7 linked regions of the Coturnix japonica genome follow. The protein of the gene in region 3 interacts with the protein of the main gene of each other region in a biochemical or structural test. Links are inferred from orthologs where the notes say so. Each region holds a gene or a part of one and is shown on either strand. Other genes may lie near its edges.

The links.
Region 1: the proteins of ERBB4 (region 3) and RASA1 form a complex in vitro, tested with the Homo sapiens proteins (2 studies listed by BioGRID and IntAct, with this or other methods). The link is inferred for Coturnix japonica from reciprocal best matches to the Homo sapiens genes ERBB4 and RASA1.
Region 2: the proteins of ERBB4 (region 3) and SHC1 form a complex in vitro, tested with the Homo sapiens proteins (2 studies listed by BioGRID and IntAct, with this or other methods). The link is inferred for Coturnix japonica from reciprocal best matches to the Homo sapiens genes ERBB4 and SHC1.
Region 4: the proteins of ERBB4 (region 3) and ABL2 form a complex in vitro, tested with the Homo sapiens proteins (2 studies listed by BioGRID and IntAct, with this or other methods). The link is inferred for Coturnix japonica from reciprocal best matches to the Homo sapiens genes ERBB4 and ABL2.
Region 5: the proteins of ERBB4 (region 3) and NRG2 form a complex in vitro, tested with the Homo sapiens proteins (2 studies listed by BioGRID). The link is inferred for Coturnix japonica from reciprocal best matches to the Homo sapiens genes ERBB4 and NRG2.
Region 6: the proteins of ERBB4 (region 3) and NRG1 form a complex in vitro, tested with the Homo sapiens proteins (2 studies listed by BioGRID and IntAct, with this or other methods). The link is inferred for Coturnix japonica from reciprocal best matches to the Homo sapiens genes ERBB4 and NRG1.
Region 7: the proteins of ERBB4 (region 3) and ITCH form a complex in vitro, tested with the Homo sapiens proteins (2 studies listed by BioGRID, with this or other methods). The link is inferred for Coturnix japonica from reciprocal best matches to the Homo sapiens genes ERBB4 and ITCH.

Annotation. Positions count from the first base shown.
Region 1 is NC_029547.1:54,365,730-54,369,692, forward strand, and holds the start of RASA1 (ras GTPase-activating protein 1), read right to left. Parts: upstream 2,801-3,963; 5' UTR 2,562-2,800; coding exon 2,173-2,561; intron 1-2,172. UniProt on the Homo sapiens protein: Inhibitory regulator of the Ras-cyclic AMP pathway. Stimulates the GTPase of normal but not oncogenic Ras p21; this stimulation may be further increased in the presence of NCK1.
Region 2 is NC_029540.1:1,434,224-1,438,357, reverse strand, and holds the start of SHC1 (SHC-transforming protein 1), read right to left. Parts: upstream 2,801-4,134; 5' UTR 1,900-2,800; coding exon 1,297-1,899; intron 1,122-1,296; coding exon 1,051-1,121; intron 664-1,050; coding exon 600-663; intron 450-599; coding exon 330-449; intron 1-329. UniProt on the Homo sapiens protein: Signaling adapter that couples activated growth factor receptors to signaling pathways. Participates in a signaling cascade initiated by activated KIT and KITLG/SCF.
Region 3 is NC_029522.1:7,035,430-7,038,929, forward strand, and holds part of ERBB4 (receptor tyrosine-protein kinase erbB-4), read right to left. Parts: intron 2,262-3,500; coding exon 2,214-2,261; intron 1,945-2,213; coding exon 1,897-1,944; intron 1,343-1,896; coding exon 1,045-1,342; intron 1-1,044. UniProt on the Homo sapiens protein: Tyrosine-protein kinase that plays an essential role as cell surface receptor for neuregulins and EGF family members and regulates development of the heart, the central nervous system and the mammary gland, gene transcription, cell proliferation, differentiation, migration and apoptosis.
Region 4 is NC_029523.1:5,537,685-5,541,956, reverse strand, and holds the start of ABL2 (tyrosine-protein kinase ABL2), read left to right. Parts: upstream 1-1,472; 5' UTR 1,473-1,592; coding exon 1,593-1,986; intron 1,987-3,826; coding exon 3,827-3,997; intron 3,998-4,272. UniProt on the Homo sapiens protein: Non-receptor tyrosine-protein kinase that plays an ABL1-overlapping role in key processes linked to cell growth and survival such as cytoskeleton remodeling in response to extracellular stimuli, cell motility and adhesion and receptor endocytosis.
Region 5 is NC_029528.1:15,467,754-15,471,692, reverse strand, and holds the start of NRG2 (pro-neuregulin-2, membrane-bound isoform), read left to right. Parts: upstream 1-1,139; 5' UTR 1,140-1,180; coding exon 1,181-1,610; intron 1,611-3,939. UniProt on the Homo sapiens protein: Direct ligand for ERBB3 and ERBB4 tyrosine kinase receptors. Concomitantly recruits ERBB1 and ERBB2 coreceptors, resulting in ligand-stimulated tyrosine phosphorylation and activation of the ERBB receptors.
Region 6 is NC_029547.1:47,881,143-47,884,642, forward strand, and holds part of NRG1 (pro-neuregulin-1, membrane-bound isoform), read right to left. Parts: intron 1,566-3,500; coding exon 1,436-1,565; intron 1-1,435. UniProt on the Homo sapiens protein: Direct ligand for ERBB3 and ERBB4 tyrosine kinase receptors. Concomitantly recruits ERBB1 and ERBB2 coreceptors, resulting in ligand-stimulated tyrosine phosphorylation and activation of the ERBB receptors.
Region 7 is NC_029535.1:1,379,526-1,383,800, forward strand, and holds the start of ITCH (E3 ubiquitin-protein ligase Itchy homolog), read right to left. Parts: upstream 2,801-4,275; 5' UTR 2,685-2,800; intron 1-2,684. UniProt on the Homo sapiens protein: Acts as an Acts as an E3 ubiquitin-protein ligase which accepts ubiquitin from an E2 ubiquitin-conjugating enzyme in the form of a thioester and then directly transfers the ubiquitin to targeted substrates.

The sequences.
Region 1 (3,963 bases), on a different chromosome or scaffold from region 3:
TAATCTTAACTATAAATTCAATCATTATTCCTAAAGAATTATAGCAAACCTTTCCCTGTATAAGATTATAGATAATATTGATCTTTGTTTTGATAATAAATCAGGAGTTTAATTCCATAGAAGCAGATGGTACATCTACAAAGAAAGGGCCCTTCCAAAATAAAACAGCAGGACTGAGAGGATGCGATTTACTATCAGCATATGGCCAATCTGAATGACTTAAATAAGAACGATGAAAACTGACACCATAAAGGAGCTGAATGAGAGAGAAACACGGTTCTATTCAATCAATTTTTTATTGAAAAGTCACACTCCGAGGGTTATGTGGCAAAGGAAAAGCTGTTAAGAACACAGAGTAGGGAGGTACGTGTACATTTTCCACAATACTTGATTTGTTGTGAAGGATTCTCTTTTATGAAGAAAGCTCAGCTCACAGTTATGCCCTGGTTCTGCAAAGACTCCTGTCTCCCTTTTGTCTGAATAAGGTACTGTTAACCAGAGCAAATTAGGGCCTGCACAGCCTTCCCCTCAGCACACACTTGTCAAAGCACTTAAAGACAGACATCACTCCAGCACTTCAGTCACAGGACAATGCTCTGACAGCAAATCCCACTCCTATTAGCATATGTCCATATTGCATATTTAGGACCGAACAGGTGGTCATTTACAATCTGTCACCCCATTTCCTAAAGATACTTCCAAAAAGGACTCTCTCTCTCTGACTAACATAACTGGATCTAATGGAAAAAGCAGTCTGATCTATTTTCAGAGAGAAAACCAGAAGTACAGAATTGTGTGCTCCAGTGATTTGACAACCCTGAAGAAGTAATTTCACATTCGTGTGCCTCTATTTCCCTCCTGATCCTTTGTCAGAACTGCCTGATCATATTTCCAGCTCATTAGTGACGCCAGTCAAACACTGTTCAAACACTGCCTTAAGTTAGCAAACTTCTACAGAAAGTCAAGAAATCAGGAGATTACAGGGAAGACTGTCAAAGCGAGAGACATGAATTTAAAAGGGATTCATATCGGTACATTTTTATGTCCTCCTGATGACTTTAATGATTCCTGAAATCATGGAAATACACGAATGGTGCAGAAGTCTCTTAAGAGTGGTACTGGGAAAGAATGTAACAAAGAACCCAAACTCAGATGGGCTTTCAGGTCGTCCTTCTGATCCACGCCTTGAAACTATCTACCAACCCTCATGGTTTCACACAATCAGACTCCTTAAGGTTGGAAAAGCCCGCTATGAACATCTAGCCCAACTGTTTCAGTACCTTGAAACCTTACATTATCTACTATCCTCAGGAAACTTCAGGAACAACACATTTCTAGACACTACTTGGTGCAACCAATAGAGCTTCTGAAGCAACTCCATTTTTTAAATAGCCAGGCACCCTCCCAGAGAACTGTTTTCTGTACTGAAACGGGGCTTGAGGTGCTACACACAAACCTGCAGACTTCCTATGCTTCAGCCCAAAGGTTGTGCATGGAGTGCTCATTAATTACACAAACTACACACAGCATTATCTGATCCTACATTTTTCACACAATATAAATTGAGAACTGCTCTGCTCAGAGTGCGAAATTCTGTTACCAGCACCACAGGACATCCATTCACCTTAAAACAGAGATAACAGAATGAAATCCAACAGGAGGTTTGCAGGATTTTCACCTCTGCCTCCTGCCTCCATACAGACAAACCAACATCAGCCTCGCTTTAAACTGGCTGAGCAGCAAAGTCAGGCGCTATTCTGTAAGCACAGCCCGCCCACTATTTTAAAGTAGAAGAAGAATTCTACTCATTTCCAACCCGCGTTCCAGAGTGAGCAAACCTCACCCTCCCTACTCCACGAAGGCAAACACGTGCGTGCAACCTTCGTGATATTCCTGTATGAAATAACAAAAAGGCTGGGGTGTTCTTTGTGCTGTTCTTGTTGCTTTTTTTTAAGGTATAAACAACGGAATGCAAAGGGATGACACGAGGAGAGCAGCGCTTTGTACAGCGGGGAGGTCTCCGCCTGTTACAAAGTTAGCGCCGCAGTCCCAGTCTGTCCGGGAGCCGCCCGGGCCTCCCCCCGCCGCACGGACACGCGGCGCTGCGCGGAGCCGCGCTCTTCCTGCGCTCCGGGAGCGGAACCGAGGGGGGTGGGGGGCCGCGGTACTTACTGGTTGGTGGGGGGCGCGTTCAGCGGGATGGCCACCTCCTCCTCCTCGTACTCCGGCCCGTCCAGCGAGTCGCCCTCGTCCACGGCCGCCAGCCCTCCGGCCGGGGGTAGGGGCGGCGGCGGCGGCGGCAGCGGGGGGAAGGCGGCGGAGCCCGGCTCGCTGGGCGGTGGCGGGGCTCCCGTGGAGCCGAGCGCCAGCAGCCCGAGCGCCGAGCACAGAGCCGGGCCGGCGCCCGGGCTGTCCCCGCCGGAGCCGGAGCTGGAGCCGGGCGCGAAGGGGCCCTGCGGCCCCGGTGCTTTGCCTCGGCAGTGCCCCGGCTCGGCGGCGGCCGCCGTCCCGGCCGAGGTAACCGAACCGCCGTCCTCAGCTCCGGCCTCGGCCGCCATCATGTTGAGCCTCGCCCCCCCTCCCGTCCGCCGCTCGCCCTCCCGCCCGCAGCCGCCGCCGCCGCCGCACGCCGGGGAGGTGGCGACAAAGGGGCCCCGGCCCACCCCGCCCCGGCGGGGAGCGGAGCCGGGACGAGGGCAAAACTGTCCCGGCGGAGACGGGCCGCGAACAATACCCGGCTGGGCGGGGGCTGCGCGCTCACGGCGGCTCCGCAGGGCCCCGGCGCGGCTGCCTCGGCCCCGCCGGCCGCCAGGGGAGCGGCTCGGCCGCCCCGCGCTGTGCCCGCCCCCGTGCGCCCGCCAGCCGGGAGGGGGGAAGGACGGAGGCGGTGGGACGGGCCGCGCATGTGCGCCGCTCCCCAGCCTCGTCCCTATGAGCGCGTGCGTGGAGCTGGGCGGGGCAGGAGGGGGAGCGGCCGCACCGCGTGGGGGAGGAAAGTGCGGGGTAGGAGCGGCCCGAGCCGCCATGGTGTGCGGCCAAGGGGCGGCCATGGTGCGCCCTGAGGCTGAGCTGCCTTTGGGAGGGAAAATAGAAGAAAGTATGGGGAGTAAAAGCCAGGAGAGGCGGCAGGTGGCGCGGGGGCACGGCGGGAAGGGACGGCGCGATCGGGGCGTGCTGAGCCCGTGCTTTGTGTGTCCCCGTTATAGCTGCACCGCCGTGTGCTGCGGGAGGAGAACAGCGCATCGCCTGCAGCCGCTGTGTGACCGCACTGCCGCCCGTACTCCATTGCCGGTTACTCCGTTACCGTGCTGATACTTCTCTCATTATCTTCTTTTTTTCTTCTTCTTCTTTTTTTCCCTCCCCCCCCATAATAAAAGAGCTGACAAATAGCAGCACGTTGACACTTGCACGCCTCTCCAAAGTTCTCAGGAGGCATCTAAACATTCAGGTTTTCAAAGCCTTGTGTTACCAAAAGAATTAAGTGAATTTCTCCCCAGGCCACTAAAACAAACTCCTACTCGCGCTTCCACCGCCCTGCAGACAAACCTCCTTTTATCTGCCGAAACGAACCTTCCTATCTTGCCTTCTGAAGGCAGGATCCCATTCCAGGTCCTGCAGCGCTGCGAGTACCCGTGGGACTCTGCTGGGCTCGTGCCCGGTGTCAGAGCAGACGCTGTCTGCGTCCCTGGGCTCACAGAATGGCAGCGCGTTCATGCCCTGCTGTGCTGGTAAAGAAATTACAGTCTCAACAGCCATCTCTTACGGGCTTGGTTTCCACGTTGCCATATTTCAATCGGATATGTAATTCCACGTTGTCTTGCAGCCCACTGGCTCCGTGGGCTTCTGTTTAATGCTGTTTGCTTTCTCCTACGGGTTTTTAAATAAAAGGATTTCAGCACAGTCTTGTTGTTAAAATGATATTCCTAAACATAGAGCTGCAGTGTAAATATTTATGATTGCTTC
Region 2 (4,134 bases), on a different chromosome or scaffold from region 3:
TGGTTATGAGCCATAGGCAACCAGAGGAAGGGCTGAGACACCAGCAGAGCTACTGAGACTAAAAGACATCCAAGGCTGAGGGACTTGGGTCTCAAGGTCCAGAGCACAGATCCCACAAGGCATTCAGGGCATTGCTCAGATCCCTTTGCTACCAGGAATGGATGGGGTGGAACATGCTGGACCAGGAGATGAGCACTCAGCAGGAAACACAGATAAACCACACATCCCCAGGGAGAATGGGAACACCCCCAGCAGGGCCTGAAGGGGATGCATGGATCTCTGCTTGTTTGAAGGCAGCAGTGCAGCCCACAGCAGCTTCCCTCTCTCACCTGCTTACAGTCAGAGGCCATGAGGTTGAGGCTGCTGGTGGAGATGGTCAGGGTGATGGGCATGCCGGCGAACTTCAGGTTGCTCTTGCCCAGGATGGAGTTCAGAGAGCGGCCACAGGGCTGGGGGAGAACAGCAGCATTAGGCAACTCATCACCACCACCACTCCATGCTGAGCCATGGGGGCAATCAGAGCCCCTAAGCACTGCTGGCTGGGTTGAGATCCAGCCCTCAAATTGCTCCCATCAGCAGCTTCCCAAGTCCAGCCTCACCTTCCTCCTCCTCACTGCTCCCTTGGCACCAGGTACAGCCTCACACACCAGGCCAATGGCCTCCCTGCATGGAGCAAAGCAAAGCGTCAGCCTGGGGGTCCCTGTTGTCCCCTCCTGCATCAGCACAGGGACAAAGCTCTGCTATCAATGCCATATTTATGGGGCACCGCTGGGCAGAGGACACGAGGAGCAGTGCAGAAGGGACAGGGTTAAGCATGGAACAAAAGGGAAGCCCTCAGGCAGTGCAGGCTGATTCCCAGACCCGGCAGGGACAGGGGAAGAGCGAGCTGTTAATATTTGATGCAGCTGCAGGAGTGCTTCCTGCCTGACCGAGCTCATTGACAGGCTCATCGATCTCCTGGCAGTTTCCTCCATGGCTGCAGACAGCCTGGTTCCACTTCCACACCCACCCTGGGCAGCCCCAAGCCCCCAACACAACCCCAGGGCTCACCTGGTGACCTGAGTCCTTGTGTTGAAATCCAAAGCCCTCATGGACTGAAGGACTTCTACGCAGCCCATGTACTATGGAGGAGAGCAGGGTCAGCATCGGGCTTGGCTCGCTTTGACTCCCCCACCTCCCCATGGCAGCCCATAAGCAAAGAGGGGACAGGTCCCCACACTGTGCTGTTCACCTCCACCCACAACGAGCCCCCCCCCAAAGCCCACTCCCACCCCATAGAGACACCCCAGCACTCACCCTGACATGGTAGGAGACCCCAGGCCCCATGACTTTATCATCTGGGTGCAGCCAGCCCCGCGTGGGCTTATTGACAAAGCTGCCGTGGCGGGTCCATTCATCACCACCCAGCTGGCCGCCTTCCACCCGCGTCCTCTTCGCACAGCTCAGCTTGTTCATATCCTGGGAACAGACAGTGACAGGTCCTACTGAGTTAGTGCTGGCTGTTCCCCCTGGTGTCGGTGTGAGCGTCCCGGTTAGGACGGGTTGCCCTGAGCTCCCAGTATCTTTAAGGCTGCCGGTCGATGAGCCCCGTAGGCTGAGCAGGTTGGCGGGGTTGGAGAGCTTCAGGTTGGCCATTTTAGGGAAGAAAGAGCAGAGGGTGGTGGGGCTGTCCTCAGATTCGGATGAGAGCTCCCCGAGAGGCAGCATGGGGCTGAGGGAGGAGGATGACAGCGAGCCAGGCAGTGACCGAATGCCTTCAAGGGATTCCACAGGGGACACTGGGGTCCCCAAGGCTCCCACAGCCTCCTCCAGGGAGGAGACAGACTCGTTCCGCAGGTGGCTGTATTTGCTCTTCTGCAGGAGATCCATTGTGGAAAGAGGAGAGAAGGGCTGGAGCATGCCCACCCCTCACAGCAACCCCATAGAGCGCCTACAGCCTCCTGGAGTCCTCCCCCATGTACAGGTTAAGGTTGAACTCCATGCCAGGCACCCTCCAGCCCCTCATGGCTCACGAGGAGAACCAGCTCCACGCAGTCCCAGCAGATCGATAGCAACCAGCGTCAGCGATCCGGATAGATGGGCAGCAAGCCCCGCTCCCGGTGCACCCGGTGATGGGGGGGTCTCAGCACACCCAGCACACAGCTGGGAGGTCCTCAAGCCCCACTGCCCCTCTCTGCACCCACGACGAATCCCATTGTCTTCAGCAGGGGCTCAGCATGGCCCCTTTTGCCCCATAAACGAGTCCCAAACCGCTGCCCCTCCGGCTTGCTCTCCAGCCCCTGCTCTCTCCTCCTCGCAAGCGGTTGCCAGCAGCTCAGAGGAAATGAAAAGCATGAATATTTAAAGCCCTGAGACAAGGCAGCCACAGAGCACGGCCGAGCCCTGCCCAGCCTTGCTCAGAGCACGGTCCAGAAGCGAACAAGGTCCTTCTGTAGCAGCCGGTGCTACGCGAGCCACGTGCCGACAGCGAGAAGATGCTGTTGGCTCTCCGGGATCGATGGGGTGGGGAGCGACGCCTGAAGCCAAAGGGGGAACGCGATGCCAGAGGGATGCAGGGATGTCCAGCACAGCTCCAGGATGGTACAGGAGGAGGAGAGCGGCCAAAAGGAGGATACAGGTGGGTGTAAAGAGGGAGAAGCCGGGCTCAGCTGTGGAGCCGCCGGGAGCCGATGATGGTTGTTGCTTCCCGCATCCCGGCTCCTCCCGGAGGGGAAGAAGGGGCTGCCGCTGATCGGAAGGGCTGTGCTGACTCACAGGCGGAGGAGAAGGATCTGCTGTGCTGTGAGGGGATGGGGAAGCAACGCAGGAGGGGCTCAGAGGGAGGGGTGGGGACCCGGCGAGGATCTGGAGCAGAAAAATCAAGGTCACGGGCGGAGCTAGAGGGAGCTGGGGAAAAGCCAGAGCGTGTTGATGGCGCCAGGGTAAATCTCACCCATTTCCAAAGCTAGGAGAAACCCCAGTTTTCTAATGGGGGGCAATGGGGCAAGTCTGCCCCCTCCTCGTTCCTTCCCACCTGATGCAAACCAGCAATGGGGACCTCAGAGATCCCCCTTCAGCCCTTTGGAATAAGCTTTAAGGCCCCTTCTAACCCAAGCTGTTCCATGCTTCTCCTACCCCCCTCCCCCCCAACAAAGGGGGTCTCTGGGCCCCTCTGACCCACCTGCAGGCCAGGGCACCCCCATAGAACCCTACACCGAGCTGAACTCAAGGCAAATCCAGCCCAAGGGAAGGGCTCATCCAGCTCAGCCCCAACAGTGGAACCTCCTGCCCCGCTTCCCAAACGTTGGCATGAAGCCACAGAGACAGGGAAATGGAGGCAGGGAATAGGCTGGAAATAGCTGGGATCCCACACGATGTGGGGGCTCCGATGCCAACGGGTCCCACAGCCCCATCAACCCCCACCTTGGTGCTGCAGGAACAGTCCCACGATGTGCTCTGTTACCCCCCGAGGGCCCCACGGCAGCTCAGTGCCATGACCTTCCCATGGCCAGCAGTAAGATGGATCTGAAGAAAGGCAGGAAACCCGGGGCCGGGGAGCCAGGAAGCAGAGACCCGCCAGCCCTGCTCTGCTGGGCGGCGTTGGGGAGGCTCAAGGCAGCGTGTTTGCCCCCATAGGACCTAATTGGCTTGTACATATGGGGCTGGGGGTCCCACCTGGCACAGCATCCCCTGCATAAAGGCTTGCAGGCATCTGCAAACAGGGGCTGTCTGTTACCTAAGATAAAGGGGCAAGGGGTCTTTTGGACCCCAGCCCAGATGGGAAGCAGGGAGCAGCAATTCCCGGCACACACAGTGCCCCGAGCTGTGCCCGTTTCTCACAGAGCTCTGTTTCTACAAAACAGAATCACTCTTGATTTTATCACAACCTCCTGCATTGAAAGCTGAAGCCAGACAGCTCACACACATCCCCCCCCCAACAGCACTGGCTGGGAATGAGGCACGTCAGCACAACCAGATTCAACTGCCACAGCTCCAGAGCCCACCCCAATAATCACAGCCCCTTACCCAGGGGTCACAGAGCACCAAAGGCAAAGCAAGACGTGCTCAGCCCCATAGATTCGGGTCCTGCAACCCCTAAGCAGCACCCAGCAGCCCCTTGTCTCACCAGACAGGCTGGCACTGCACTCCCAGCCC
Region 3 (3,500 bases):
CTTCCATCCTTGAAGGGCAAAGGGCCTTGAAGCATTATGAAAAATAATTCAAGTGAGTCCTGGAAAGGGTACAGTAGAGTCTTAACATTAGCTCCAGAACAGTTGGCACAGGTTGTGGTGTCTTCAAAACATTTGCTGCGGGCTAACACCACAAAAAGATGTGGTTCAGTTGCAGAAAGGTTTGAAGGTACACAGGAAGTGAGATAGGAGGATGGGAAGGGAAGATAAGCAGGGACACTGTCTGCCTTAGCTTACAAGTGCACTTGTCCCACAACCCCCTCTGTTTCCACTACGTATTAACAGTCTTCCAAATCCTGTAGCAAACTCAGTAGTTATTTGGCATTTACATCTGATTTGATTAATTTCTTTAAAGCCAATGCAAATGTTTGAAAGCAAATGACTAATGACACATCCCCTCACAGCAAAACAGTGCTGCTGCTATTTAAAAAGAAAGGAGAGAACGAAGGCCAAGTGGGAAGCATGGCACTGAGCTGGCAGTAACACAGGCACACTCCACCTCACGGTGATGGTTCCTCCAAAGCACACGGCATTCTTTCCGTCCCAAACTTCTCTTGGGCGTAAAATGCCAACTATGTGCATCGGTTCTGTGGTATGTTCAACCTGACATTTTACCAACCACGATGCTGTGACGATAAAGCAGATCAATAAACAAAGCCAAGTGGAGACCATGGCTGGACAAAGAAAGATTACTGGAAAAAGTATAAATATTTGTTCTTGGATAATGAGGGGGGTTTGTTGGTTTCTTATTTTTGCTTTGTCTTTTTCATTCCTCTCTCTTTTCCCTTCCAGCATCAAAAAATGAAAGGGGAAATACCAAACCTGACATTATAGTACAGTCAGCTTTCTTAAGTAGAATGTTAAGCAAAGAAAAGAGAATCCCCCCCAGCAAAGAAATGTTAATCAAGTCAGAATATTTCAGTCCTGCTGGGTTAGCAGATAAAACCCTTTCAGGTGTAAAGCTGCCGATGTAGACAAATAGAGAAGGCAGTGACTGGGAACTTCCCTGGAAGGACCAACTGTTACCTGTTTTGGGTTTGTCTCGCATTGGCGTCATATAGCCATCCTCATCCAGCTCTCCCCGAATCACCCGCTCTGGTATGAAGACCGTGGGATCAGCGCTGTACCTCTGGGTGCTGCTGTCCTCCTTTGCCAGCGTGGCCACCTGCTTCCGCAGTGTGCCGTTGCAGCAGGTGTCTTCAAAGATCTCTGCCGTTGCCCCTTGAGCAACTGGGGCTTCTGGGATGATGCAGCCAGGAGCTCTGTATGGCATCGGCACTCCCTGCTCTGCAGCATAGCCGCCATCTCTGTACACAAACTGGTTCTGTTGAGAAAGAGAAGGCAGCTTAGAAAGAACGCTCTCTAAAGGGAAGCAACATTGTACTACAAGGCATGCCCTTGGCTCTCCCGCCACAGCTGCTGAATGATGCATTTCACAGGGCAGGAGAATCCTCATCCATCCTGCAGGCTGCCACATTTCCAGTGCTGAGGGTCTAGCAAAGCATCTGCCTGCCCGGTGCTGCTGAGCAGGTCCCTTCCCTGGGAGGAGCATCAGGGCAGGGAGGGCTGCAGGGAGACTGGATGGCAATGAGGCTAGAAATGGGGTACAGAACTTGTCTCCTACGCAGATGTGGAAGTTGGAGATTCACAGTGGCAAAAGGCAAGCAAACCCAGTTTCTCTTTTTCTTAATAGAAAACCTCCCGTGATTTCTGAACAAAACCCTTAAACCTTATGCTAGGTCAACTTGGTTTGCTCCCAGGGGGGCTGCTCACAGGGTGTCTGGTAGCACTGACCACAAAGCCACCCAGACACTGTGCAGCTCCACCAGGCTGTGAGCAAGGCTCTCGCCAACACCTCAACAGTTCAACTCAACCTACCATTCTGCTTCTCAGCAAGGGCGTGCAAGGAAATTTCGACATCGTGACCTATAAATGGGAAGGAAAAATGGACAGATTCATCCAAGCCTGTTTCCTAAATACTTTTCAAAGAAATATCGGCAGTGATTTTGCATGTGGATCCCTTGAGCTCAGAGATGAATCCAAGCTGAGCTTAGAGATCCCCGAGTTATACATACACAAACTGCATTCAGTGTTGGGTTTTGAGACATTATAGGAATAAGGGAGGGAAAACAGAAAACAAGCAGTGAAGGAAGGAGGAAAACCTAAAGAATGAAGGTTGAATGTGAAATACTTACTCCTGACATAGGGGTGTAGGCAGGAGGAGGGCTGTGTCCAATTTCACTCTAATGAGAAAGAAAAATGGAATGATGGATACGTACTTAGAGGTCACAGGGTGAAACAAGTTGCATGAGCTCTATGAACTGATGGGGAGAAACATGCTCATCAGATTTCCTCAGCGAATCCAAACTGCAAAGATGTGTTTCACTGATGTGAAAAAGCTGTGTGCCTGCTTGCCTGCCTGCCCTGGGGAAGGTGGCCAGGTTCCCTCGCTGGGTAGGGGCGAGTTGTGGAGGTTGTACAGCAATCCCTCCATAAAGACACATTCATTTATTCTGATACCATTGGCACACCAGTTGCTCTTGTATTACTCCGTGCTGCTCAAAACTGACCTATTTCTCAATGAGAAAATGCTGATCTTCTGGGAAGGAAAATAAAGCCGAGAAACACAATCACGTATTTTTCTACTGCTAAAACGGTACATTTCAGATTTCTAGATCTGTTCTTCATAACTACTGTGCTTCCCAATTTGTTTCACAAACCTCCCTCTGTTTCCCTTACCTCCCAGTTCAGGGAGAGAAAAAGTCAGGATATTAAAAAAAAAAAAAAAAAAAAGGCTGAACTTGAGACAAGTGAGGAAAAAATCCCACATCCTTGGGTAAGAAGCCTGACCACGGCGAGAATGCTTCTCTTTAAGAGATGCCTGCTTTATTACAATCTCTTGCAGAAACGTATCGGTACTAACAGCTACACTCTAAGTACAATCAGAAAAGATGCACGTTGTCACACCACAGGGATGGGACGCACCACAGTCAGTTTGTGCCTTTTGCCAATACGTCACTAAGACGAGCCTTTATAAAGAGAGGCTTTTGGTTGAAGTTCAGTATCTGCATCGGGGAAAACATTCACGATGAATGTGGAAAGCCCAGTTTGGTGTTCATGAATGGGCTCGATTTGTTGATATAAATATTCCCACGGCCATTTTGTAACTCAAATCTAACACCTTTTGTCTAAGGTGTAAACATGGTGGACAAGACAAGCCCTAGTTAAGAACAAGCTTTTCTGCACTGCCATTCAAATTCATCTGTATTTAGCCAAGCGATAACCTTCTAACAAAAGGCTCCAGGTTGCAAAATACAAAAGTGCAGAAAAAACTCTGTTAGCTGAATGTCCTTCTGGACCAGCTGTCTGCAAAGCCTCGACAGGAGTCCCTCCGTGCACATCTCTTCACCAGGGCAATGAGCAGCTGGAAGGCTCAAGAAATAGGTTACTTACATTCCTGTGGTGCCACAGAGTATTCAAGA
Region 4 (4,272 bases), on a different chromosome or scaffold from region 3:
CTGGAAGAGCTGCTCTGCCTGAAAGGTTGCTGCTTCTGTCAAACAAGTTGAGTGCACCAGAATTCGTGTCTTACATTGCGCACTTACTGTGAGGGGAATAGGAACAGGATGTTTGCTGTGGATGCAGATGTCAAAGTGACGGCCTACACGCTAGAATAACTACCCAGCAACATCAGTGTGAAGGAAATGATGCTTATCCCGAAGTTAGAAAGAAGCCTGGTTTCATTCTGCCTGAGTGCACATACCAGGCCTTTACAAACCCACCTGCTGTGCAGGGATGCTGGTGCCCTGCCCTGAGCTCACCTACAGACCTGCTGGCCATCACAGCTCAGAGAGGCTACAGACTCAGTGCCTGCATTTCCATGCTGTGCTTGTAACTCAGATTCATTTCCTCCTAATCCTTCCTTGTTCCAGAGGTACCACTTAGACATCTGTCCTATTTTAACGACCAGGCTAACAACTATTTCACTTGTTAAACTATTGCTGCCGATCCTCACCGAGCAGTAAATTAATACATAGCCTGCCATTTCCAAAGACCATTTCAGACCCACCTGAAAAGCTTATTCACTGCAGTTATTTGCTCTGCAATTCTTTGTGTGTTAATAAATGCACTATTTCACACACCAGTGTAATAAAGATCATTTGGAGCACACAAGAGAGAAAAAACAAACTGCAAAAGGAAGATCAAACAGGAAAATGGTGCCCTGGGGGTTCAGAGGTAAAGGCAGCTCAACCTTTAGCTGCTGGGTAACATGCAGCAGGATCCAAGAGCTTTGTTTTGGAGGAGAAAGGATTTCCCTTGGTTGTCAGGAGAACCTTTGGAAGCCAACACTATGTAGGTGTGCTAATGTATTCTGTCTGGCTGTGATTTCCACATGCATTAGAGGTGGTGGAGAAGGGAAAAGCTCATGATACAGCTCACAAAGGGGGAAGTAACTCTTTGCACAGCCTACATCCTTTCTGTAGTGACTTCTCACACCCACAGCCTTACACAAAACACATACACTTCTAACAAGCCCGACTGCTCATTTCTTACCTTCAGTCTGAGCCGTGCCCTCATCACACGAAGCAGCTGCCTTCCCCTCAGAGCTGCTGCCTGTAGAAATGCTGCTCTTGGCTGGTGAGCTGCAGCAGCTTCCCCCCCTTTACAAGAGGCCAAAGCACTTGCTGCCCTTCCCCTGTTGCCTTTCATACCCTTCTGCAGGCCCACCAGGTGTGGGACTGCCACAGTGATTGCTTCTTCTTTAACCCTTCCTCCTCTGCATTAGAAAGAACCTGTTGTGCTGGCAGCCCTATGGACTGCTGGGGCTCCTGAGGGCAGATCTGGTTTGTGACAGGTAGTTTGGTGCTGCCCTGTCAGAGGGCTGACCTGAACCTTCCTATGTGTGCAGCTATGCAGCTCAGCCTGGGCATGCTGTGTTGCCTCTGCTTTCTGTTTCTCTCTGCAACGTTCAACAGCGTTTTCTCTTTCAGTGCTCATACATCTGCTAGGCTTAGTATTTTCACTTGTATCACTTCCACGTAGTTCATGTGAATGGCCCCGCTGCTCTGGATGTGGAGTGGGAGAATGAATCAATGGGGCGGTCCCCTTAATGCAGGATCTGTTTGGCAATTGGCACAAAGGAATTTCTCCAAGGAAACGGTTTGTTTTCCTCCTGCTGCTCACGTCAAAATCGCTTCACTCGCATTCCATCCCTCCTCCCCATCCCTGGTTTGTTCAGAGCTCTTTGGGAAGCTCCACCCTTCCTAACCAAACACTGCAGCCCCTTGCTCCTCCTCCGCCCCATAGGCTGCCTTGCTTTCCCATTGACCTCCACGTGCGGACCCAGCACTTCTTGCTGCAGTTATTTGGCCTCCTGCTGGCTGTGCAGCACGGCATGATTGTGGGCACGGTCCTGTTCCAGCCCAGCAGCTATGGCAGAGACAACAAGCTGCTCTGCTGCCTTGGCAATGATGGCTCTGAGCCTGCTGGGTCGAGCTTCACAGGTAGGGAGACTACAGCTCTATTCCTGTACTGCCCTGTTGGTCTAAAGGAGGGTGTGGGTCCTCTCAGCTCTTTGTCTTGTGTGGGAGCAGGACTGAGATTGCCAGCTTTTATTCAGGATTAGCAAAATGCTGTTGGTACAATCGAGCATCAGCACCTGGTGCGGTTCTGCTGTTGAAGGTGAGGTGTGTGCTGGGCTCTCGTGCTGCTCTTGAACTGAAGAGATCCATTATTGGAGCCTCAGTGGCACGAGGGGGGGGAGGCAGAAAGTCCTGACGTGGTGGCTGAATAGGAAAGCGTTCATGTCCGGAGGGAAGCAAAGTGTGCTGTGGGAATAGAGAGGAAGGAGGTGGCTGAAGCATAACCTCACTTGTAGACTAAACGATGATGTAAGTTTTCAATTGTATAGGAAATGAAAGCAATAACGTGATTTGTGGTTATGCTTTGGGTTGATGTCAGAGAGAACTTCCCAGTTCACTTCCTCGCCCTTGGTGTGACCGGAGCTCACAGCTTGTTCAGTGTGAGGTGTTTCCTTTGTGGTGTGATTTGTCTCAGCTTCCTTACTGAGCTCTGTGATTACCGTATTGAACTCTGCTTTCTTATCCTTGTACGTAGGATGGCATGGGTCCCACTCGTATTGAGCACCGTAGGTTATTAGGGACTGGATGCTCAGATTTGGGAACCACTGGTCTTTTCTGTTGCCACTTGAGCTGTTCCTGATGCATAATAGCTGCACGTGCATGTGCACAAACCCAGCCCTAGAAAGCAGCAGCCATTATTACTCTTTATGTGACAGGCTGGGATGTTGGTAACTGCAGGTGATAGTTAAGAACATGAAGCATAGAAATACTGCATCTGCAGAGAATGAAGCCATGCTTTGGTGGCTGTGTCTCCGTCACTTCTCTTGCTGAAGGAACCTCGATAGGCTGCCACTTTGGCATGGCTGGGAAAGCAGTTATTTGAGCAGTGGGATTACCAGAAATGAAGGCAAAAGCCACTTAGCTGTGTGTTTGAGAGCAAACAAACCAACCTCAGTCATTTCCTTTCCCATGTACGTATAACAAAGCTTAAAAAAAAATGGAACATGGGTTCTGGGAAACCCCCTACACTGAAGCTTTCCAGGCTCCAGCTCCATCACGTGGCACAGATTCAGCACGTGTTTGCCTGTTATTTGGCATAGGCCTCTTCCTGTTCTGTCTCTCTGACTTCCCAGCTCTCCCGCCTGTGTTGCTCTCAAGCCCTTTGTTCTCCCCATGTGCTACACAGACTGGCTCTCGCTCAGTGTGGGAGCCTGGTGGGGTTGGTGTGTGTGTGTGTGTGTTGTCCTGCAGCAGTTTGCAACAATCCATCCTGCATGTGACTCCTCAGACCCTCAGCAACAGGCCACGTCTGTTTTGGGTTGGTTTCATGAGCAGATTCAATGAGAGGCACTGGGAGCACGTGGTGGGACAGGAACATCCCTCAGCTGTGCTTTCAGAAGCATTACTTCCCTCCTTAACTTAATCCTCAATCCCTGCCAGTTTACCACTTCTTTAGTTTTGTAGTCTTGAAACGTGTCACAAATCACCTCCATTCCTACTAATGCTGACTCGGTGACTATTATCATAATTCAATCTGTTTTACCTCTATTCCTAACACTGCTTTCAAATCCAAAATTTGCCATCTGGCCTTCAGCCACGGAAACAAAGGTTGAAAACGTAACGTGGCAGACTTTAAAAGCTTTTCTTCACTACTTCACATCAAAAGAGCATCTTTTATTTCTCCTACACGTTGTGCAGTGGGAGCCCTGCTGTGCCATGTGCCGGGTTTTAGCTGTAACTTCCTCTTCTTTTCTTCCTTCAGAGGCCCTGCACCGTCCCTATGGTTGCGATGTTGAACCCCAGGCGCTGAACGAAGCCATCAGGTGGAGCTCCAAGGAGAACCTGCTGGGAGCCACTGAGAGCGACCCCAACCTCTTTGTTGCACTTTATGATTTTGTAGCAAGCGGTGACAACACGCTCAGCATCACCAAAGGTGGGTGAGCCCCTGAGTTGCAGAGTGGCCATGGGCTGTATGCTGAGATATTGATTGCTGAATGCTTCTGTTGTTCCACTGGAAAGAGTGAGTGCAGTGAGCAATTATTCTGTAAGCAGGGAATAAAGCCTGTGGTCTCTCTTGTGTTGGAGAGACGCCTGCTGGGCAGTTCTGGTACTGATACACTGTGGAGTAATTGGCCAAGGATGTAGCCCAGGTACATCCGGACTCACCAGCTCCCTGACTGTGAGACACCTCTGTGAGGCAGAGGAGAA
Region 5 (3,939 bases), on a different chromosome or scaffold from region 3:
ATTCCTTAGGATCAGCTTTGAAAATAAACCCAAATAAGCCACTTTTTGGAGATTAAACTGACTCCTGGAAACCACTGCAGGGGAAGAGCACTTGTTTATTAAAAAGAGACAGCAGGGATCAGGGCATGAAAGGAGGCTTTGTCTCCTCGGCTATTACCTTACTCCATTTGACGGTATTTTAATGCTTTTTTCTTCAGGTGTGCAGGGAACCTCAGGCACAAATGTCCCACCTTGGAAAGCACCGGGCATAGAGGGCTTTGCGCATCAGGGCAGCCCGTGCCACCTGCAGCAGCCCCCAAATGAGCGCATCTTTGTTGACACTGGTCCGGGTGGCTGCGAATGTCCGGGGGCTCGGGAGGGGGTTCGCTCCGTGTCTGATCGGGAAGCGTCCCCGGGGACCACCCGACCCTGCAGGAGCACGGGAAGGCCACAGAGCAGGGGTCCCCTCTGCAGGCGGAGGGCATCCCCGGGGGACTCTCCGGCATCTCCCCACTCGAGGGCAGGGAATCGAGGTGGGGTCCCGCTGTCCGGCGCCCCCGACACGCGGTGCTGACCGGCGAGCGGGCAGCGGCCGTGAGAGCATCCCGGGGGGGCTGCGGACTGCGGGAGCAGCTGGGGCGGGGGAACCGCAAAGGGCATCCCCATCCCAGGGAGGGAGGGCGAGGGGGAAGGCGTCAGCACATCCAGAGGGAGAAGGGGGCGAAGGCCGGCAGCGGGAGCACGCCGTGGGGGTGGGTTCCGGCTGCGGGAGCGTTGGGGAGGGCTGGAAGGGGCCTCCCGCGCTGAGGATCCGCCGCACGCGGGGCGGAAGGGGGGATTCGGAGCATCCCGGTGGAAGCCGCATCCCGAGGGGCGGGGGGGGCTCCGTGAGCATCCCGGGAAGGGGGGGGGGGGAGAAGGGGGGTTACCTCTGCAGCATCCGCGCGCGGGCTCCCACCTCCCTGGCTCGGAGCGGAGCCGGCCACCTCCCCCTCATCCTCCCGGCCGGCGGCTGCGGGCGCTCGGTGGGGTCGCGGCGGCGGCTGCGGCTCCGCTCCGGCCTGGGGGCGCCGTGCCGGGAGGAGGGTCGCGCCGCGCCGCGCCGCTCCGCCCCGCCGCGCCCGCCCGCCCGCCGCGCCGCAGCCCCGCAGCCCGGCCGCCGCCGCCGCAGGGCCGGCGGGAGCGAGCGGCAGCCGGCGGCATGAGGCGCGACCCGGCGCCCGGCTTCTCCATGCTGCTCTTCGGCGTCTCGCTCGCCTGCTACTCGCCCAGCCTCAAGTCGGTGCAGGATCAGGCGTACACGGCGGCCGTGGTGCTGGAGGGCAAGGTGCAGTCCGTGGCCCCCCCCGCAGGCGGCGGCAATGACAGCCGCGGCGGCTCCGGCCCCGCCGGGGGGGTCCTGGTGAAGGTGCTCGACCTGTGGCCCCTGAACAGCGGCGGGCTGCAGCGGGAGCAGCTCATCAGCGTGGGCTCCAAGGCGCCCTGCTTCAAAGTGAAGCGCAACCACCGCTACATCTTCTTCCTGGAGCCCACCGAGGAGCCGCTCGTCTTCCGCACCGCCTTCGCCCCGCTCGACACCAGCGGCAAGAACCTCAAGCGGGACGTGGCGCGGATCCTCTGCGCGGACTGCGGTACGGGGGGGCGGCGGGGCCGGGGCCGGGCGGTGGGACGGGCCCCGCCCGGGCTGGGAGCCGCGCTGCCGTCGCCGGGCCCGGCCCCGGGATGCGGAGGCGGCTCCGCTGCGCTGCTCGGGCCGGTTCGCTCCGCGTTACCGTGCGGAGCCGGGCCGAGCCCCGAGCCGGGCCTGCGGCGGTGCCGCCTTCGCAGGTGAACTGGGAAGTTTGGCCTCCTTCGGAAGGAGAGTCTCGTTTTGCGAAGTCGTTTTTCTTTTGTTCGTTCGGCGCGTTTCCATTTGCGTCTTTAACGCACCTGCTCCGTGCTTTGTGGTGCCGTGCAGCGCTCCTCCATCACCTCCCCGAGTGCCGTTATGAAATGATTTCGACAGAGGAGCCTGCGAGCGTTCCTCCTTTTGTGCCTGGCTTTCCCTGCCGTCCTCCGGCGCTGCGATGTGTTGTGGGGGTACCGGCCGCAGACAATGACTGCATTTTCCCAGGGTTGGGATCTGAGCTTACAGAAACGCGGGGCCGGCCCTTCGTTCGGCTCCGGTGCTCGGATCCTTTGTCACAGAGCCGGGCAGGGCTGTTACCTGCAGCTCCCGAGGCACGCCGTGCCGCCTGCTGCAAACCCCGGTCTCTGGCGCTTGGTGGCTTGCAGGGCTGCGAGGGCCTGTCCCCGGGTTCTGTGCTCAATGACAGAACGCTGTGCTTGCTCATCAGGTTAATTGGCCCTTTGCCTCCTTAGAGGCGATGTGCCACACCAGTTATGCTTAGCTACATAATGAACATATGCGCATGGTGTTGTTGTTGTTGTGTTCTCACATCGGTGTTCCCGGGGCAGTACTTGGCTATTGCTGACTGCAGACCCCGTGTTTTGAAGGCTGGACCTGGCTCTTTTTTGGTTACCACAAAGAAGGTGCATCCTGGCCTACCATAATATGTTGCTGAGAATAATGGGCTGGCACTGCATATCAGAAAGCTAATTCAGGAGGCACCGACCTCATCTGTGGGCCACGGTGGATACTGAGGATTTGGTGAAATAAGGAGTTAAATGCAAGAGGAGAGGAATGTATTGAGATTCTGATTTCTTTGTGAGGTGAAAGCACAGCAGAAGGGCTATGGTGCTTTTTTGTTGTTTTTTTTTCAGGAGGAAGGGTTGCAAACTTGTGCATCTCTGAGCAGTGGGATGTGACTTTAAGAGGAATGGAGGCTGCTCCGTTGCTTTCTGGATCAGGCCCAAAGCGCTAACGTGTGGGCTGATGTAACAACAAGTGAGGGGATGTCGTTCTGCCCGTGACACCCTCCCGGAGCTGATGCTTTGTTTTTGTGTTTCCGACGGGCTGAGGGATGCGGCGGGTTGTCAGCAGTGCTGCCTCAGTGGAGCTGTATGGCAGATGCAAAAGGAAAATAAATAAAAAAGCTGGTGGTTGGGAACTGTCAGAGCTGTGGTTTGTTAAGTGATGGGGATGAGATGGAAGCCTCAGCACACTGAACTTGTGGTTCCTGCAGCATGAAGGTTCAGCCGGGGCACCGGGAGGCAGGTTCTGAAGGTGACATTCCTGGCAGGATCTTCTGATTTGTGGGATCTAAGTTGATGGAAGGTGCACGGACTGAGAAACCAGGCCACGGTCTGCTTTCTTGCTCCTTGGGTTCCAGTGGGGCAGGGATCCAAAGAGGCACGGGGCTGTTTCCCATCCTCTCTGCAGGTGGGGATGGTGGACAGCTCCAGGGCTGGCAGACGGAGCCCTGTCCCGGCACAGGGACCTCAGAGGGACTCTGGGCTTTGGGAGCACCGTGGAGCAGAGGGTGTGCTGGGCCATGTGGCTCTGACCACGAACCCCCACTTTGAAGGATGGAGGCCTTGCAGGGCTGTCATCTCCCCTTCCTGGCTCCGTGCCTGGCTCTGTTTTCAGTGATTCATTCCCTTCTCATGGACTGGGATGCTGTGTGTCCTCTGCTTTCCTGCCTGCTGATGCTCCGCGTGTGCCGCAGGGTCAGGCCTGCAGTCAGAGCATCGTGGCTCTCTCCCAGGGCCAGGCTCTTGCCTGCACAGCACATTGTGGGAGCAGGTGAAGCCCTGTAGGACAATAAGGAAGTCTGAAGGAGAGGGGAGCACTGCACGGGGTGCAGGAGGTGGAGAGGGAGCATCTGTGCCAAGTTTTGGGAGGCACTTGGGGGGGTCTTGGCTGGATGGTGTCGTACTGCCCACACTGTGCTGAGATCTGGGGAGGGAAACTCTCCCTCCTGGGCCCAGTGCTGGGCACTCTGGAGGGTGAAGCTTCCCTGCCGGCAAAATGCAGAGGTCTGCAGCCTCTGCCCCTCTGCAGAGCCATGGATGAAGGAA
Region 6 (3,500 bases), on a different chromosome or scaffold from region 3:
AGGAGGAAAATCAACAAACCAAAAAACTTTCTCAAACAACTGAAAACTGTATAGCTCTGAAACTGTCAAGATAATGCTAATCAGCAGCAAATCTGGTAGCTTCTGAGCTCTGCTGCCCTGGATTTTCATGAGTAGTGTTAAGACAGAAAGTAGAAATAAGCACATAGGATCTGGTACACACCCAGAATAGCCACATCATACTGCTCATCTTGTTCTGTTGATGTAACATGATCAAGAGTACATCAACACAACTTTTTTTTTCTCTCTGCTATTCAGCCCGCCAGAGCCAGTAACTGTTCCACATTCACTTTAGCTAAAAACAATTCTAAAATCAATGAAATATTCATCACTTTCAGCAATGGTGCAATCTGTGAAACCCAAAACAAAACAAAGCTCATAAAGTCCAGAAAACATCAATCTATAAAACAAAACTTACATGTGAAGCAAACATCGTGGATTATTAATATTTTTTGAATTAACAACAGTGCCATGCAACCTATGCCTTTCTCACCTAATGAAAGCATCACAGACCTTCTGCTAAGTCAGCCATCAGAACCTTCTTTCCAAGTACTGACATTTGATTTTTAGTCATAGATGTCTGAAGTTCAATGCAGTTACAGCAGACAACAGATTCCACTGAAAGCTGTCTCCTGTCTGTCTGAAAAGCTGCAATATCTTCACAAAAGTGCCCACTTTCCAGTCAGTCCTGATAGACTCTAAGGTATTAAATGCTGATTTCTCTCTGAGTTCAGAGAGAAGAAACTTGCTAAGACTGATTTGTCTCCAGAAGTAAATACTACATGATGTGCTACCAGGCAGGAAGTGTACTCCAGCGCTGTATTTCTCACTAGAATCTTTCCAAATAAATGGATCACAGCATCAGCCTGCACAGTGCAGGCCAGGCCTTGAGAAGAAATGAACAAGCGCATACAGCTTATGTTCCTAACTCCTTGATCAAAATCCTCACATGAAGTAGTAACCTCTGCAAACTGCCATAGTGCTCTTTTCTTTTTATGCACTTAACACAACGTGAAAACTCCAATTGAGAATACATTCTCGTCAGAAAATGTTCAGCTATTAAAGCACACAGTAAACACAGACCACCTTTTTCCTGTAGAAACAGCACTTATCCAATGCAGTTATCAATACACATTTTTTGACTTTGTAGTGTATTTAGTTTACAGCATCTTTTCTTTATATCTAACATACAGCTTAAATTGTGCTAGTTCATGCCATCAGTAAGGCTTTCTGTGCCCTTTAACCCATGGGAAGATTACTTGGTTAGCCTTTCACATGCCTCACATCCAGATGCTTAGAATGAATAAATACCTCATGCTGCAAGTCTAAGAGAAGAAATTTTTCAGGTGCACCATTAAAGAAAAAGCATTTATAGAACCTGATGGCTCCACCAAAATATGCAAACAGGATTTCTTACCTGCATAGGTATCGTGGAGGATTTGGGAGGTCTTTAACCATGTAACACTCTCCCCCATTTACACAGAAGGCTTTCTGCTTTATGTCACATTTTGTGAGATGACTTGTCCCAGTTGTAGATGTGGAAGTGGCTGGAAAAGAAGAGAGAGAAAATACAGATCAAAACACCTTAAACTTTCCTACTGTCTGGTAAGTGTATTTGTATGTGAGGGAAGAAGAAAGTCCAGGGAGGATATGACATGTCAGTGAACTCTCTTATCTACTGTCTCCAAAAGTATTTGATACCATCTTTTGCTGATTAACACAAATTAGGGTTCAAATGCACACCTCAGGGAGGTATCCCATGCCCAGCCTATGTTTTACTCTAAATACTGCCAAAAAGGGGTAGGAATACTTCTAGCATGGATGCTGGTCATTTCCCAGATCAGAAGCCACACCACTGAAGGGTTATGTGATCTGTGGCAAATCATTCAGGTTTGACTGACTTCACTTGATTCATCATTTAGTGGTAAGGCTATCTCCATGGCCCACAGAAAGATCTTCACCTCATCCTCCCAGCAGGTGGGATGAACACCCCCTATTATTGTGTCTGTCTCTCCACAATGACTGCAAAGCTTTAGCCTTGAGAATTTTCCCTAATTTTTAAATGGCTAAAACTAACTGATGTCTCTGTCTGCCAGCAATTAAAGGTGGAGGTGATTTCTATATGGTCTTTGTTTATCTGGGTCTAGACTTAAGAAATTAAGAATTTTTCTCACAATGTTAAGCAAATCCCAGTACATTTATTTATGAAATACTGCTTCTGCCCTGAGGTGAAATGTCAGTTTCGTCTACTGACTGATTCCACTGGAGTTGACTAGAAAGCTGCAAATGCCTACAACAAAAGCTGTGTGATAGTCAAAGCATTGCTACACAAAAACACCCAAGGGGCATGTTTATACTACATGATGCATGACTTTCTACCATTTGCCTCACACACAGAATCCAAAGAAAACATGCTTTTAGTAGATAAGCTATTAGCAAACACCACTTACACATGTTGAGTTATTTCTGAGAATAAGGATGAAGTAGTCCCTGTCACATTTGTTTTTCATGCATTTCCCATTATCTTCAAGGAAACTGCATTTTTAGAACTCAGCACTTGGGAGTGCAGGCCAGTGTGGCTGGCACCATTTCTTGAATGGTTTAGCTATCTTGTTTCAATGGGATATGAGTTTCTGATATATTTGAATTCCTCCCTATCGTTCCATCAAAATCCTGTCTGTCTGTACAGACATTGCCTCTCATGCTTTTTCTCTACTCTGCCATCCATCACCAGTATGCCAGTCTCTTTTAATGTTTTCTATAATGACCTGTTCGTATGGGGTGTTTAACAGGCTGACAGGGTTCCAAAAAGAGCTCTTGCAAAACTCAGGCTCCCCCTGCTTTTAACCACTGCACCCACCCACTGGGTCATATCTCACTAGATCCTCATCTAGATTAAGACCTCTAAGTGCCAACAAAATGCAAGCATGAAGTACTGATTCCTCAGAATAACACATTCCTTTCTCCTGGCTCCTCGAAGCATGATGTATAACCTCTCAGACCAGGATAAATTTATACCTTGTCTACAAGCAGGAAAAGGGGTCATGTTTTGAAAGTAGTCTGATACTCTTTCAACTAGCCTGGGTTGAAAAGGACTTTGCACCCAGTGTTGATAAAAGGCTGGTCAATACACTGACATCAGCTCAGCAGTGAAGGGTCGTCTATGCCTATGGGTTGACCACATCCTTGACACAAATCTCAGAATGGGTAATGTATCTTGTGGAGAAGCCTTTCCTTCTTCATAGGCTTTGGAGAAGCCTAGATTAGCTGAAGAGGAGATGTCTGACATGACAGGATGTGGCATAACATGACCACAGGTATGATGAAACCTGAGTGAGTGAATTCTGTCTGTGTAATAAGAAACACGAGCTGCAATAGGTAAACACACTTTTAAGCTTATCCCTACTCACAGCACATGCACAACTATGTATGTTTTTTCATTTCATTAGGAGACTAGAGAGACAAACACTCTGAGCATGTCC
Region 7 (4,275 bases), on a different chromosome or scaffold from region 3:
GGCATGAAGAGAAACTACCATTCCCTCTCCAGAAGGCAGGCATAGAATTAGCTCTGGTGACAGCCATTCCACAGCACAAAAACACAAACAAGCTGATGGCCTAAAATCATTAAAAATACTTAATTTGGGAGGCAGTAAAAAGTAAAATAAGCCAAACAATCCTCCCAAGCAAGACTGTAATCCCGGCTTGTCTGCTTCCTCTTCTGAGGTGAGCCCTCACTTCAAAGCTCACCTACAGCACAACAAAGAACAGTTACTGAAATCGACCCAGGCAAGTGCTCTGCTCCAAGACATACCTGCACATTCACGCTCCTTAGCTGTGAGGGCTCAAAGGAGTTCCTCCACTTACACACAGAATGACAGAAATTAGAACATTAAATGAACACAACTGGACTGCCAAACAGAAAGGCTTAACAACGAGCAGCATCAGTGACAGCGCACCCAGAAGCTCCAGCATTGCGCTCCCCTCCTGCTTTAACCCCACTGACATCTTTTCCTTTATTTTTTAGGACAAACTGTATTGCTTTTGCTGCAATACAGAAAGCATTTTAACAGGGTTGAGTATGTTTACTACTTTGTTTATATATCTCTCGCATTTACAGATGTTTCTGTAGACTCTGTCACTGACTGATACCGATAATGCCATTAAATTATCTAACTCCTGCAGATGCAAACATTTTTTCAGCCTCACTTAACACTGTTTTCAAGCAGCCCTAATGCAAGTTTTCTTAGAAACAATGAGAAACAAAGCCTCCAAGAGAAGCACCTCGCTGCTCTAATACCTGCCCTCCCACCTGCTGCTCAGCTCTGCAGTTCACTCTCACAAGCTGTTTTGAAACGTCCAACCAAAGAAACCAAACAACTCTGTATTTCAGGAAATGGCTCATCACACACACACATAAAACACCCTTAACTTTACAACAGGAACAAAAATAGAGTGAAGAAAACGAGGCGATGTCTGTTAACTTATAAATTCATACGAATAATCTCTCGATCTCTCTTAAGACCCAAAATAACTGTTTAATCTGTAAGAAGCTTTCAAAGTTAGCACTCAGAAGTCTCAGTTATTTTCCACTGCAACGTCACCTCTTACACATACGGCATCAGTTCTTTGTTTTAATACAAGAAAACTCACTCCAGGTTAGAATGCCGCATATTGCTCTGATGATCACTTGGAGGTGAACGTATCCAGAGCAGTGATTAAAGCTGTCAGTCAAACCACAACTAAGAACGCACAGTAGACCAAGTTCGGATTCAAATGGCTGTAGCAAAGAGTAATATAACTGTAATTAAATTAGAACTGCTTTGGACTTTCACTAGAAGAAGAAAGAATTAAAATTTGTTCTTCAAACAAGATGTCTGAAAGGCAATAAAACCCACTGAGCTAATGACAGATTGCAGCCGATGTTTCATTCTTCTTTATGCATAACTTGTTCGGGTCAATTCAAGCAGTAGCTGGACCAACTGCCAGCCAACTGGCTCTCGATACTAATTGTCTTCTCAGGAATCCCAGTTCACATTTCTCCTCCTTCCTCTGCCAAAAGGATGAGGGTAAAGGGGCAGAGATTAAAACAAAGAGCAATGAGGAACACTGAGAAAAAGAATGTTTCACAAAGAGAACTGTTTGTGATCCTTTCTATCCTACCTGAGCTATAAAGATTAACTTCTCTGGGAACATCTTCCGAAGCTTCAAGGGTAAAGAATGCCACGCAAATGACAACAGATGGCCCAACTGCTACACTCGGTTTTCTCTCCCCACATACATAGATGCTAAGCTTGTTTATCAGTTTAACATCACAGATTACACCTATCGCAACAAGCTGAACTCCTGGATTTCAGAGCCAATCTAATAAAGGCGTTCACACCCTCAGACGGCACCTTCCACTCGTGCTTGGTTGTTATTGCCACACAAGGTCACAGACCCCTGTGAGGAAGCAGGAGAGTTAACAGCCAGAACTCGGCCGTGTTTCCAAAATAAAGCGGCGGCAACAGCAAGAGGGAACACACACCTCCAACCACACTCGTGCTGGGAAACGCTGCTTCATGGCACAGCTGTTATCCCACAGGAACAAAGCAAAGAACTCCACACAGCAGCCTCCCCCGGCCGAGACCCCGAGAGACAGACAGGACGGGGCTGAATACAAAGGGAAGGGGCCGTGTTGCGGAACTGCCGCTGAGAAGCAGCGCCTGGGCCGGGAGCGATCCCGGAGCGCCGAAAGGGCCAAGTGACCGGTCCCGGCTCCCGGGAGCCCGGGCAGGATGGCGGAGGCCGAGCGGGGCGGCGACACGCGCTGCCGGGGAACAGCGGGGCCGGGGGATGTGGGCTCGTGCAGGAGCCGTGCAGCCCCACACACAGGCCAGAGGTCCCGGGACCGCCGCCGCAGGCACGGAGCGATACCGCCGGCTGCGGCCGGGCCCCCGGCTCGGCCCGGCGGGGAGGGGACAGCGCGGCGCGCCGAGGCCGCTCGGTGAAGCTCCGTGGGGCCGGAGCCCCTCAGGCGGCCGGGCCTACAACCGCGGGGTCCCCGCGCCCCCCGCCCAGAGCCGAGGAGATCGGCGGAGCCGCAGCGCTGCCCCTGGAGCTCCCATCCCCGCCGCCACCCCCCGCCTCCTCGTCCTCCTCCTCGTCCTCGTCCTCCTCCTCCCTCCTGCCCTGCCCGTGCTGCAGAGCCCGCTCCCCTCACCGCGCACGGCGCCGTTCAGCTCCTCCGTCCCTCGGCCAAGATGGCAGCCGCTCCGACCCAACCCGAGGCAGCGACTTTCCAAAGTCGGGCGCAATCTGCGCACGCGCGGAGTCGCCGGAGCCGCCACGGGGTGGAGGTGACTACAACTCCCAGCGTGCGCCGCGCCATGCTCCGCGCATGCTCAGTGCGCCCCGCGGTGTCGCCCGGCGGGGTGGGTTGTCGGGTGCGCGGCCGAAGTGATCGGCGGGTCACACACAGCGACGGACACAGGGCAGCTCACACAGCACAACTAAGGCAGCATCTCTGCAGGTGAAGCCCAGGCCAGCACGCAGCTCTGGCTGCTTTCCCCAGCAGGACAGCACCCAGCGCCCTGTTTGCATCACATCTGCTAAGGCAGATGTGGATTAATGACATTCAGTATCACTTTTCAGATACACCATGTAAATTCTCTGTTATCAATATTTTTCCTCCATTTGTAACTTGCACTGGGGCTAAAAATGTTTTTTCAGCATCAACAACCCTAATCTCTTTTTCTATTTTCCAGCTTTTGATGCTTCAAGTCAAGTTCCACCAGTGTTACCTGTAACATCCATAAAGAATGCATTCCGGGTGCACACACCACTGATGATTTTCTGCTTCCAGGACAAGATGAATGTTGTGAAATCATCCCATTCAAACTCTTTCAGAATTTTCCCTGTTACAAATCACAGCCTTTATATGAGCTGCTACACCAACACCGAATAATGACTTAACACCAGACTGAGGTAGCAAATGCAGATGAATTTAATTCAGTGGCAGAAGCGACCCCAGCACCTCCTCCACCAAACTGTGTTCCAAGCACTTGCCCCCAGTGTGTCCTGTTGAATTGGGGCTGCTCCCTTCCAGAGGCAGATCTTGGACCATTTATCTTTGTTGAGTTTCTTGAGATTTTATCCACATTCATTTTGGACTTCACTGTGTCGACAACAAAAAGGCAGTCCTGGTACTGAAGGGACCATGGTGACCATGGAAGCAATTCTGATGGTGTGAACAATTACCTGTTCTGGGCTAGACACAGCCCCAAGCAAATATCATACAGTGACTGTTGAGTAGTCATCAGATGTCATCAATTTCGATTAGCTGCTAAGCTACTTTAAATCTTTAATAACGGCTTAACACTTCTGCCTGCCTTAAGGTTTTGTGCAGCTGCTGATTTAGAGGTGTACGAATATTTCATTTTCACAGCATTTTCTTTATGACTGCATTTCAAAGTACTTTGTAAACATCTATAGAGCAAGTCTTCTTAAAAACAAGTCTCCTGGAATTTGTTTTAACTGGATCATTGCTGCAGAGAATGAGTTATAATTTAAGATCAAACTTATTTTGAAATTATCATCTTTAAGAAGAGATTATTTTTCGTGCTGCCTTATAATCAGTTGTTTTCACTTGTGAACATAGACATAGTGTGGTGGTAGAGCGTGCATACTTCTAACCACCTTTAAAATCAGTATTGATTTCTTTGGTTGGGGATTTAGGAAAATATCAGTAGGAAAATATCAATTAATTCCTGCTAACTGAACAAAACCTTCAAGGTTGGCAAGACATTGTTATT